Linked DNA regions of Saccharomyces cerevisiae S288C. The gene in region 3 interacts genetically with the main gene of each other region. Each region holds a gene or a part of one and is shown on either strand. Other genes may lie near its edges.

Region 1 (4,734 bases), on a different chromosome or scaffold from region 3:
ACGGCACATAGGGTCTTACCTGCCAGTGATGATGATAGGCTCATTTCCTTATACGCTGCGAGCTTAGGAAAAGGAAAATACTGTTTCAAATTGGTCCCTCCGCAACCGGGGTCCAAAAAGGGGCTAACCTTTACAGAACCTCGCGTTCACTATTTTGCAGTTGAGAATAAATCTGAAATGAAGGCATGGCTGTCAGCCATAATAAAGGCCACTATTGATATTGATACAAGCGTCCCTGTCATTAGTTCATATGCCACACCAACGATACCTCTAAGCAAGGCACAGACGCTATTGGAAGAAGCTAGGTTACAAACCCAGTTAAGAGATGCTGAAGAGGAAGAGGGAAGAGATCAATTTGGATGGGATGACACCCAAAATAAAAGAAATTCTAATTATCCAATCGAACAAGATCAATTTGAGACCAGCGATTACCTGGAAAGTTCAGCATTTGAATACCCTGGTGGCAGACTTTGAGAACTGCAATCATTAGTTACTTCTTGACCAACTTAAACACCTTAATAATTAATATTTAATAGAACATAATATAGTGATATAAAGTATATAAAAATAAAAAGTTTACGAATTAATACAATCAAATTAGACACTGATACTATCAAGAAGTACATCGCAGGAACCGCAGACATGATGTCCTCTTCTTTCAAATTACTGGATATATATATTATTATTATTGTTACCATTAACGTTATTATTATTAACTATTACTATTACATTAACTTAAAAATAAATATGAAACAACGAAGAACAAAAAGAATTATGAAAACATTTAACATGTTTCAATTTGTTATGTTTTGGCCAACCTGCGTTTATTCTTGCATATGACATTTTTGTAATTCATCGATGATAACTTGGTTACCCTTTGGATCCAAATTCATAGCAACAGTTAGCTCCTTGATTGCATCTTTTTTCCTCCCAACTATTCTATATGTTTGACCCAGCAAATAATGGGCTGTGGCATCATCAGGAACGAGTTTCACCAATTCTTCAAAAGTTTGCAAAGCAACATTATATCTTGTCATGGAATAGAGCAACTGGCCCATCTTATATTTGGATAGCGAGGAAGTCGGTTGCAAATGACATGCTAGTTCATAATATTGTAGAGCCTTTTCCTTATAGCCCAGCTTTTCTAAAGAACCACCGCAACAACAGATTAACACAACATTGACGGGATTAATTGACCTTGCCTTTTCAAAATATAACAACGCTTCTTCATATTGACCTAATTTCATAGCGCTCGTACCCAATCCGTAATATGCATTGTAATGCTGAGGATCACAAGCTAGCGCCTTTCTATAGCATGTCTTGGCAGAATCCGAAGAATCGTTGGAAGAATGTTCATGACCTTGCAAAGTATACGCGTATGCAAAATTTGGGTCTAACTGAGTAGCTTTTTCGAAGGCTTTTATTGCGGCATCATGATCCTTTTGCAATGATAGCAAATTACCTATACAACACCATGTTTCGGGCTTATTAGGCATTGTATCCATTAGCCCATTTGCCAAATTTGAAGATTTAACCTTGTCATGCAAATGCCACAGCAAAGTAGAAAAAATTTCCATATCTTTTACCCTTGCCGGTTGTAGGTCTTTCAATCTATTGAAATACTTTAAGGACATATCATAATTAATGATCTCAAAATGAAGTTTTCCTAATTGCACTAGACACCATGGCATTGTGTCTTTAATATGAGATGGGATTTGAGACTCGAACAGTCTTATTGCCTTGAACGAATTGTATTGTGATGACGACCTTAATATTAAAGCGAAATTATACATGATTTCAGGCAGCGTAATTGAATAATCACTCGTTAGTATTGAGTTACTGATTATTAAAGACCTTGGATTTTTCTTGGAAGTTGTTAACCTTCCTGTTGAGGAATATAGGTTTCTTGGAGTTTTGAAAGTTGTTTTATTTATAATGTTATTATTATTATTATTATTATTATTATTATTATTATTATTATTATTATTATTATTATTATTATTGTTATTTTGGTGGTTCCTATCGTTATTTAACAGTTTCGATGGAGGAGTCGTTAAAAGTTTGTTTCTGTTATAAACTTTGGCCAACGAGCTTATTGTAGGCTGTTTGGAGGATGGAGACACTAAGTTCATGGAAATGTTATTTGGTAGCGCAGAAGACGTCTTACTGTTGATTGCAGGGTTTTTAGGAGTTTGAGTATTTTTGTTCTGGCAGGTCCTTATTGATGTGTTCGCTTGTTGCTGCTGTGACCTTGAGAAATGCTGAATGGAAGAAAAAGAAGATGCCGATGTAGAAGGGGGAGAATTAGACGACTGAAACAGTGTATTAACATTATTATTGATATTATTATTGCCGTTTTTGTTTGTTTTTGAATATAAGCTAGGTTGTGAACGAGGTTCGAAATGCGATAGTGATGTAGACGGAAACGATGAAGCTGCATTATTATTATGACTATTACTTTTTTTCCCTGCAATGTCGAAAAAAACCCTCTTGAGATCCACGGTAGCTCTCATTTTACAAATCGCTTCGTAAGATTCCCAAAGGTAAGGATTAATGGCTAATGCTTCAGAATGATAAAATGCTCCCTCCTTAGAATGGTCCAGTTTCATATAAAGATTGCCTAACAGGCAATTCAAAGTGGCCAAATCGGGAATATGGACGAGATTAGAATTCAACACCATATTTATGCGCGTATTACTGCTGTTCGAAGAAAATACATTTATTATTGAGAGAAGAGTGAGGATAGCTTCGTTAACTCCCTGCGAAAGCTGTAAAGCACAACGCCCGAATATGTAAGCGATACCAAGATGATACTCCTTGAATTCTTTGGATATCTGGAACGCAGTGTGGTAGCTTTTATTCAGAAACAGCGAAAGTGCATATAAATATACCGCATCGGACCAGTAAACACTTGATTTATCGAGAATGGAGCATTCAGCATAGAGCAGTTCGGCCAAAAACTCTGCGGTACTGTAGTTCAACTGCTGAATAGCCTGCTGAATGCAGTCCTGAAGCTGTATGATGGTGCTCAAAGCTTGATCATCAAAGCTGGGGATTCCTCTCGAGAGGGTGAACGGTGCTAACTCAGGATTTACCGCCATGCTATTTTTATTATGTATCCTGCACGAAAAGTTCGTGTCGATTTATGAATAGATATGCAGTCACCAAAACAGAGTCTAAAACTCTCACAGCTAGGTATGGTTTTTTGATAAACTTTTCTGTGGCACCTTTGCTTGCACTTTGATCCTTTTGGTTTACTTTCAGCCTGTTCCATCCTTTTGATCAAAAAAAAAAAGGAAAATCAAGCGCGGGTAATAACGGCACCATTAAATACTAGTAGTACTATATAGATGGTATAAAGAAATGATTTAAAACAATACGATTATATGATATTTATACATCTGTTTCAGTTGAGCTTTTTTTCCATAGAGCTGGTGGTACGAAGATGGCTTTTGGCGAGGGCGACCGAACCAGATAGCTGCGTCAAGGCCAATAGAAGCAACAGAACAGTATTCAATGCCAACAATAGCGTGCTTGCTTGTGAGTTTGGTGGATAGGAATTCCAGCACCACTCGTGCAAGACGTACCAAATGGGACCAACGAAGAAGGGCATTCCCGACCAAAAGATCAGTATAGGCAAAGTCCAGTGATACCAGGATAGAAACTGGTAGTGGAGGGACCTTGAAAATAGGACGCCGATGAAGTTGGATGCGATTAGAACGAATGGAATAGTCTTGGCGGGATTGGCATTGAGCACTGCATTTTTCCTCAGCGGATGGCACAGGGAAGACCATAAATCGGGCAGGATGCGAGGGTATCTTGTGACGAACAGTGTGGTGAGCGCTATCAGGTGGCTGATTAAAAGGGCCAAGTGGAACCTCTTATCATTGAAAGCCTCTTCATCCATCATTTGCCAATTGATACTCCATTGGTACATAAACTTCCTGCCGAAATTAAAAGCGCAATGCAGGTACTGTTGCGGAAAGCTGCGCAGGAAGGGCACTGCAACTGCGACTTGCCATGCAATCATCGCAACGAGATCCAACAAAGTAAGGATTACGTTCGCGTCATTAAGGATGAATAGAGAAATCATCATTGCAGGGAAATACAACAGCGCATTCATCTTAATGCTCACAGCCATACTGTATGTTGCGGAGATCACCAGCGCAAGGGACTTCTTTAATTTGGGGCGCTGATGGCACCTGCTGGCCACGATAGCCCCCAAAACCGTGACGACCATAAACAAAGTAGTGAAGCAATCATTGAATAACCGTAGCACGTAAATAGAGTGCAATCTTTTAGAGAGGCACGCCAAGACCACACACCACGGTGGTAGATGTAAAAGGTAGTAACACGCCATTTGTAACGCCAGTGTAAGGAGATACAAGTATCTGAAAAACACTTGCCCGCGCTCAACGTGGTCCATTCCCTCTGTTAGCCAGTACATCATCTTGTAGATCAAGACGTGGCCTGCTGGATACACCAGCGGGCCCGTTCCACCACTCACCTGAGAGTAGTCCAGCATGCCATCGAGCTGAATCATCTCGATCTGCTCCATGTACGCCTTGTAATCGATCTCTGTGTAAGCTACCTTCTTAATGATAATCTTGCACAGCATGCTTTCGAACAAAATCAAAAGGGGCATAACGATAAGATTGGCCCTACAATCGAAGATCACGTAGCGCACACCGTCCTTGAGATCCTGCCACAGATCCAGCGGAGGTCTGACAAATT
Region 2 (2,987 bases), on a different chromosome or scaffold from region 3:
TTTATTCTGTTGAATCCTTGGATATAACAGATAACAAATTTAAGGAAAGAAGTTTGATAGATGATTTGAATAAGACATTTCCCTCTTTGAAAAATATCCATCTGAGTGGCAACGAATTCAACTACAACGGAAATTATATTAACGTCGAAGAACAGGCTACTTTTTATGAAGTACTGGCTAGGTTTGATCGTGTGATGGTATTGAATGGATCAATATGTGATGTAAAAACAAGAAGAGAGGCTGAGATGTTTTTTGTTTCCAAGGTAATGAATAACGAATTGAGCTATGACACCAATCTGCCGCGTTGGTCAAGCCTCATAAAGTCGTATGAAATCGATATGAGTAAGCTAAGTTTCAACAATGAAAGAGAAACACGGCAATCTCTTGTCTTAAAAATAAAGATAAGAGCTGGCAAGAAGCCGAGTAGTGATTTAGATTATTGGGTCCTTCCCAGTTTTACAGTAAGGTACGTTAAGAGTGTAATATGTCGAAAGCTAAACTTTGACATACTGAATGTTAAGTTATTTCATGAAAATTCTGAAGGGATGATAAACGAAATAAAGTATAATTTTCGCCCCATTTCAGATTTTAATGTTGTGAACGGAGATATTATTCATGTTTCGTCTCCAGTAAATAACAAGAGCATTCAGAAGGTTAACAGCCCATCGTAATCACAGTATATAGTTAATCTTGGCTAGTTGCATATTTAAAAATCAGGAAACAGCCTTTTAGATTGTAAGCGGATGTTATTCTAATTTTTTCTTAGTTTCTTTATTTTATTATGTAGCAGATGGATAGTAATATAGTGTTGACGGCTCCGTTTGTTACTCAACGCTGAAGTTCCATAAGGGGTCGCCCAAATGGTGAATCAATTCTATGGAATGACCTTTGTTCACTGATTTAATTTCTTCAGTACCCATCATCAATTCACCAATAGCCAATGCATTCTCTTTATTTTCGGCATTGATGACTACAATCGTACCTTTCTCGTAACCAGGAGCAGGTGGTAAGTCGGCACCCGCAGAAGTTAGGCCAGGGCACATGATATTAGCACCTGAGAGAACGAATTTAATAGCACCTCTATCAACCTGAACAGTGGGATAAGCCTCTGGAAATTTGTGTACTAATTTCAGGCTTGGAATCAGTTCATCGAATTTTTGAAAAAAAAGAACTTCACCATCGACGGAATACAATTGGATCTTATCTTCACATTTAATCAACTCGATTTGACTCTTCTTAGGAATTAATTCATCAATAACATCTTCTATTTTGGGGTACTGCTTGACCAATTTGGCCTTTAACGTTCTTTGAATTGAAGATTTGACCTTTGAACGTGAATGGACATCTTCTCTTGTGAATCTATCGATGATGATGTTAGTAATTGCTTACTGAGTCAAAAGTGTACACTAACCCCTGGTAAAACCAGTGAATTACGCAATATTCATTCTCATGTTAGACATACTTCTTAAACATTTCCTCTCTGCTGTTTTAGTTTACCGTCTTTGTCTTTTATATGGTTTTACATAAGGTTATAGCAAAATCAAGTTTTTTCACACAATAATTTTTCAGATAATTAAATTTTTCGTCATTTTTACACCTACAAATACAAAGCATAAGAGTAAGGTAACTATGAATTTAGTGGAAAATGACCATAATGATAATTATCAATAGATAAAATTATGGTTTTTGAGGTGAAGTTGAGGTCTCGTTTATAGACGGCACTGTCAGGTAATTGGTCAACTCTCCTATACAAAGTTTACTGTATCGGGTGAAAAGAAAGACACACAAGAAGGAGAACACTCATGCCTACCATTTTAGTTGCCATTTCTGTATTACTTACAATTCCAGCTTCTATAACGTGAACTCACATTAGAGAATTCGGTGAAAAAGAAAAGAAAAATATGGTTGGGCCCTCAATTGAATGTTTCAGTCCGGTATCCCTAACCTATTTTTTGATATTACTTCCAAAGAAAAATAAACAGTCCCTTTGAAAGAATGAATATCGGTAATGAAAAAAGGTATTCCAAAAATTCCCTACATAGTCTTGAAGTATTCAAAAGCGAACACCGAATTGACCATGAGGAGACGGTCTGGTTTATAATTAAATTTCAACCAGCAAAAACACAATCTCGGACGAATCCTCACTGATATGCGTATTTCCCGTGCATAAGGATGGAGTATTAAGGAAGGAAGTGAAAGAAAAGAAAATGCATTAAACGTAAGTAACAATAGTAATTGGACAATGAAGCTAACTAATATTCTGTTCCTTTTATATTCAGAAAAAAAAATTCGAAAACTAATATATCATTTTACACGATATTTGAAATTGAAATTTATCAAAATATTTACTTAATTAGTCTAAATATGTAATATGAAGCGACAATGCAGAGGTTACTTAGGCATTCTTGTATTCCTCGAACGCACTTATGATATCGTTCTTCGTGAAGCGTATGTTTGTCCCTCTATAGTGTTTATCAATTACAGTGTATAGTTTCAAGTATAGTGAGACGGTTTGACCTTGAATGCACGACCACAACTTATCGCATAGGACGTTGTTTATGGCATTTTCTTGGTGGTAACCGAAGTCATTTACCATATGAGTGTGCAGCCTTTTTACTAGAGTTTCAATTTCATGGGAAGTGTATGCTAAAAGAATGTTCTCTAGGTTCTGCCTGCTATATGCGGCCCATCTTGAAGGATTGGTCATGTTCACATTGTTGGTATTTTCAATGATGTTGCTCACACCATAAACAAAGGCTGTTAGTTTAGGCATAGTATCGCGGAGTAGAAAGGAAGCATAAGATTCTTTTTCCACATCGAAAACTTTCTTAACGTTTTGCAATGACGTATCAAATATACCATCCTTATTGAAGTTTAACATGGAAAGCATTTCAGTTAGCCAGTTACTGTTCACTAGGAGAGAAATAGTTTCCATATAGTCATTATTTAAAGCAGCAGTATCTGAAAGGTTTGGATTAATGCTTGAA
Region 3 (4,187 bases):
TTGTTAGCGAAGGTGCATTGGAGGACATAGCTGCTGGTTTATAGTCATCTGCGTATAGTTTTTTTGCAGTATGAAAAAAGCATCTTCTTGCAGGACCTGTGACACATATTTTCGGGATCGCTACTACGGATAGCATCTTCTTTGATGACTTATCACTGTTTAGTTTTCTTCAAATTCCCTTTATTTCAGGTCGTTTTTCAAAATACTTTGGTTTTTCGAAAGTTTTCTCTTTTCGCTTAAAAAGGAGATTTTGTCGCTAGTCTCATAATGTAAGTTACACTAAAAAATAGAGAATAGTAAAGATGAACTGGATATACAAATATAGTATATTTTTACCGCTGTTGAAAACATTTCGTTCCCTCCCATGATACATTCATATTTTTTGTGGGTTTCAAGACTACCATAATACCTACTTTAGAAAAGCTTCGATTAGGTAAAAAAGTTCTATATGCTTTGATGTCGGGCATTTTTACGCATTTAAACATTTATATGATATAAATCTACTTTCTTTTTTTCTTCTTCAACTTGTTCTCAAAGTCTATCCATTTGCTTGGAATACCTAGCTTGTTAAGGTGATCAATGATCGATTGACCGTGTGGACCTTGAACCTGCACTTCAGCACATTTGAATGTTTGTGATTCACTTATTGTTGTCGATCCGCTACAAATCTTTCTTAAGTCAGCCGCAAGTGATTCTGGGTCGACTTGAAACACTTCAAAATTGCTCACTCTGGTAATAACTTTTCTGCCAATTTTCATTTCAGTAATAATCTTAATATGCGGAAGGGAACCCTTCATTGGCGCCTTGAACAAGAGAGTATCATCGCTTTTGAATATCTGATAGAACTCGGTAAAATTATTGGTGAGTAAGGGATGCAAAATTTCACCTCTAGCAATGATACGTGAAGCATTCAAGACTTTCTTCTTCTTATTGACCATATCGAATAATAGATCGTCCATAATAACTTTTCCTTTATCTTTTGTGTCTGCTAGGTTCTTGACAGAAATATACTGAGAAACCGCGCTTCTAATGTCCTGAGAGGTGTAGTACGTGTGAGAAGCCAAATTAACCTCCTTCAAAAGATCTTTGGCAAGATTAAAGGGTTTATACAGAGTCAGTGAATACATCATTCCAGATGTTTTCTCCTTCGAGGTTGTGCTCTCCCTACTTTCTGTGGCAGACTTGCTACAACCAAGCTTATATGGCACAAAGTTCTTTAACTCATCCTTGTCAGTATTTTTGCCCACAATAGTTAAGTCATCCCCCTTTCCTTTTAATTTCAAGAAGCCTTCTTTCTCGAAGTGTTTCAAAAATTTTGCGCTTTTTTTCCATGAAGTTTTCTTTACATTGACTTCATTGTGATCAATTGGAGGCAAATTACGCATAATGTGGTTTGAGATGAAGTTAGAAGCTGAAATGGGTAATTCCAAACCTTTATCTTGAGTCAAGGTATAATATAATGCTCTTGTAATGAAATAATCTACATCCGACACAGTGAAATGGTCTAGAACTTCAGCAATCTCCTCTACATCAACAGACGCTTCTTTTACATCTTCTTGTTCCTTTTCAACAGCCTTGATTTGCTCCGAGGATTCTATCTGTTTACTACTGATATTGTTATCCTTTGATTGAGTACTGAGAACAAATGGAGGTTCCAATTTCATTTTAAAGACTTTGGAGAGCCCATCATTGAAATGATGTATGATTTTGACAGCAACTCCTGTTTCACCAATTACTTTATCAAAGGACGGTAGATCTAATTCGACAATACCGATGGCTAAGACAGTTTCTGGTGCCTGTTTGCTAGCTATACCACAAAGAGTACCTATTTTACAACGAGGATCAAAGGGTGGGATCGAACCGGAAATCATTAAGTTAGCGCCGTTGAATAAATGTTCTTCTATAACAAATCCATGAGTTAAAACGATCGGCAATAACGCAGGATATTCCCAACAAGAATACACAGTTGGAAAAAGTTGCTCCTTATGCTTTTCCTTGAATAATATTGGGGTATTATTCTCATCTGTGTAAACCGTTCCTACACTTTTCTGGCCGTTAAAGTTGGTTTGTTTTATAGTGGAAGTACGAAAGCTATATTCCTCATTATTCGTTTGTTTTTGGAATGTTTGTAGCAACTTCTTTCTTTCGGAATTCTTCAAATTACTTAAAGCTTTTATGTGAGGCTCCTTCTTAAACATAGCTGTACTAATCCTGCGCTACACTAATCTATTGAGTCGGTTATTCAGTAGACTCATGTGTTAATTTTGACGCATATGTGTTATTTCACGGTTTTTTAGGTTTACATTTTTGTTTTCCGTAGCTAGCGCCTAAGTTTAACCAAGCATAACAAAATGGAGCACAGAATGCGTTCAATTCGATTTATCAGAAGACGTGACCTAGGGTTCTGTTGAACACGCGTAAACGACTCAAGACGAAATGTCGTCTCCTATTAATGATTATTTCATTGATTATAACCCTCTTTTTCCAATCTTTGCTACAAGAATTGCGAAAGGCCTTGCTATTTACAGAGTCTCGGATCACGCTAGGCTTGCAGTAATTCCAATAAGAAATATAAACTTGGTGGCGAATTACGATTGGGATACAACTACTGGTAAATTTTTGTCCATCTTTTTTAAGGATGGGACGATCAGAATCCATGACATTTTTAAAGACGGTCGATTAGTTTCATTCCTAAGAATTCCGAGTACAAAAATATCAAAAGGTATATGGGACCGAATTCCATTAAGATACGAACCAAATAATCGAGATTTTGCATGTAACATCATTGATGATTTACCAAAGCTAATAAGGTTTGTAAAGGACTCCAAAAGGATAAACATTGTCCCTTACACTCAACCGAATAGCTTGTGGAGAGGTCCTGATGAGGATGATCTAGATAGTAATGAAAAACTAGACGTTCACGTAGTATTCAATGAGGGAAATGATAAAATTACAGTTTTTTTTAATGGTGATTACGCTGTTTTCTTGTCGGTGGATAATATTGAAAACGAAAATTCTTTAAAATCAATTATCAAAGTTCAAGATGGCTTTTACCAGTGCTTCTATGAGGATGGAACTGTACAAACTTTAAATTTAGGACCTTTATTACAGAGCAAATCATCAGTGAACCTGCTGAATTATATAATGGTAATAAAAGAGCTTATAGGTTATATGCTTACTCATCTCGAGTTCATTAACCGGGAACTGGCAACACCTTATTTAGATTTCGTCAAAAGATTGTGTGATGAAGCCTACGGATATGGCAAACTCAAATCGGAATTAGAAGCCCTCTTTTTACTTGGAGAGATCTCATGTGACTTGGAAGACTGGCTTTGCAATTCAGTAGGTGAGAAGAACTTTAAAAGGTGGAAGTATTTAGGTTGTGAAGCTTACCAAAAAACTGTTCAGATTTTAACTTTAATATTTGTACCCGCATGTGAAAGAATCATTATTTATGTGGAGAAGTTAAGGGCAATATTACAAGCCTTTTCTATACAGAATAAGCTCAGTTATACGTCAGATTTGACAGCTGTTGAAGTGCTCCTAAAAAGTTCACAGAAATTGTTAACTATGACATTAAATTCAATAATAGGCTTGGGGAGGGACGAAACACTTTTTGAGAAGTTTTTCATATGGTTCAACGACAGACTTCATGAAGCGCTAGATGAAGATTATAAACTGAAATTTCAATTTGAGGATGATCTTTACTTTGGATACGATTTACTAAGTTACTTTGACAGAATCTTATCTAAAAAAGGTACGGAACCTAGCTCAATAATCGACGTGAAACTTTATAGAGACCTAATTAACAGCATGTCTGATATGGAAAAAGATATTGCACAAAGTAATGTTAATTCTCATATTCAACAGCATATTCTGGTTGATTTAAAAACGGATGTTTTTGCGCAAAAATATCCATCTTCGCAAATAAATTTGCTTGATGCCATAAAATTACCAAAGCATAATTACATAGTCTACCTTATTCAGGTAACAAAACACAACAGTGCTCAAGAACCTTTCTCAGAAGAAAACAAAAAGAAACTATATATAGGTACTCTGAAAGATGAGAATTTAGGCATTATATCAAAGGAATCGTCAGTCAAGATTCCGGCGCTATTCAAGAGCTATAGGTTGAGCAGTACAAGGTTTGTGCCGAATAGGGTCCATAGCTTGCTTCGGGATATTGG

What was found. Genes that interact genetically often act in the same process or in processes that back each other up.
Region 1: mutations in TMA64 (region 3) and CDC27 together harm fitness more than expected from each alone (negative genetic interaction), as found in Saccharomyces cerevisiae (2 studies listed by BioGRID).
Region 2: mutations in TMA64 (region 3) and TMA20 together harm fitness more than expected from each alone (negative genetic interaction), as found in Saccharomyces cerevisiae (3 studies listed by BioGRID, with this or other methods).

Annotation. Positions count from the first base shown.
Region 1 is NC_001134.8:66,345-71,078, forward strand, and holds CDC27 (anaphase promoting complex subunit CDC27), read right to left. Parts: upstream 3,102-4,734; coding exon 825-3,101; downstream 1-824. Other genes in the region: BOI1 (Boi1p), read left to right, coding at 1-474; ALG3 (dolichyl-P-Man:Man(5)GlcNAc(2)-PP-dolichol alpha-1,3-mannosyltransferase), read right to left, coding at 3,407-4,734. UniProt on the Saccharomyces cerevisiae protein: Component of the anaphase promoting complex/cyclosome (APC/C), a cell cycle-regulated E3 ubiquitin-protein ligase complex that controls progression through mitosis and the G1 phase of the cell cycle.
Region 2 is NC_001137.3:165,413-168,399, forward strand, and holds TMA20 (translation machinery-associated protein 20), read right to left. Parts: upstream 1,474-2,987; coding exon 1,463-1,473; intron 1,360-1,462; coding exon 825-1,359; downstream 1-824. Other genes in the region: PAC2 (Pac2p), read left to right, coding at 1-671; GTP-Rho binding exocyst subunit SEC3, read right to left, coding at 2,396-2,987. UniProt on the Saccharomyces cerevisiae protein: Involved in translation.
Region 3 is NC_001136.10:683,446-687,632, forward strand, and holds TMA64 (Tma64p), read right to left. Parts: upstream 2,199-4,187; coding exon 501-2,198; downstream 1-500. Other genes in the region: mitochondrial 54S ribosomal protein uL1m MRPL1, read right to left, coding at 1-136; APC4 (anaphase promoting complex subunit 4), read left to right, coding at 2,437-4,187.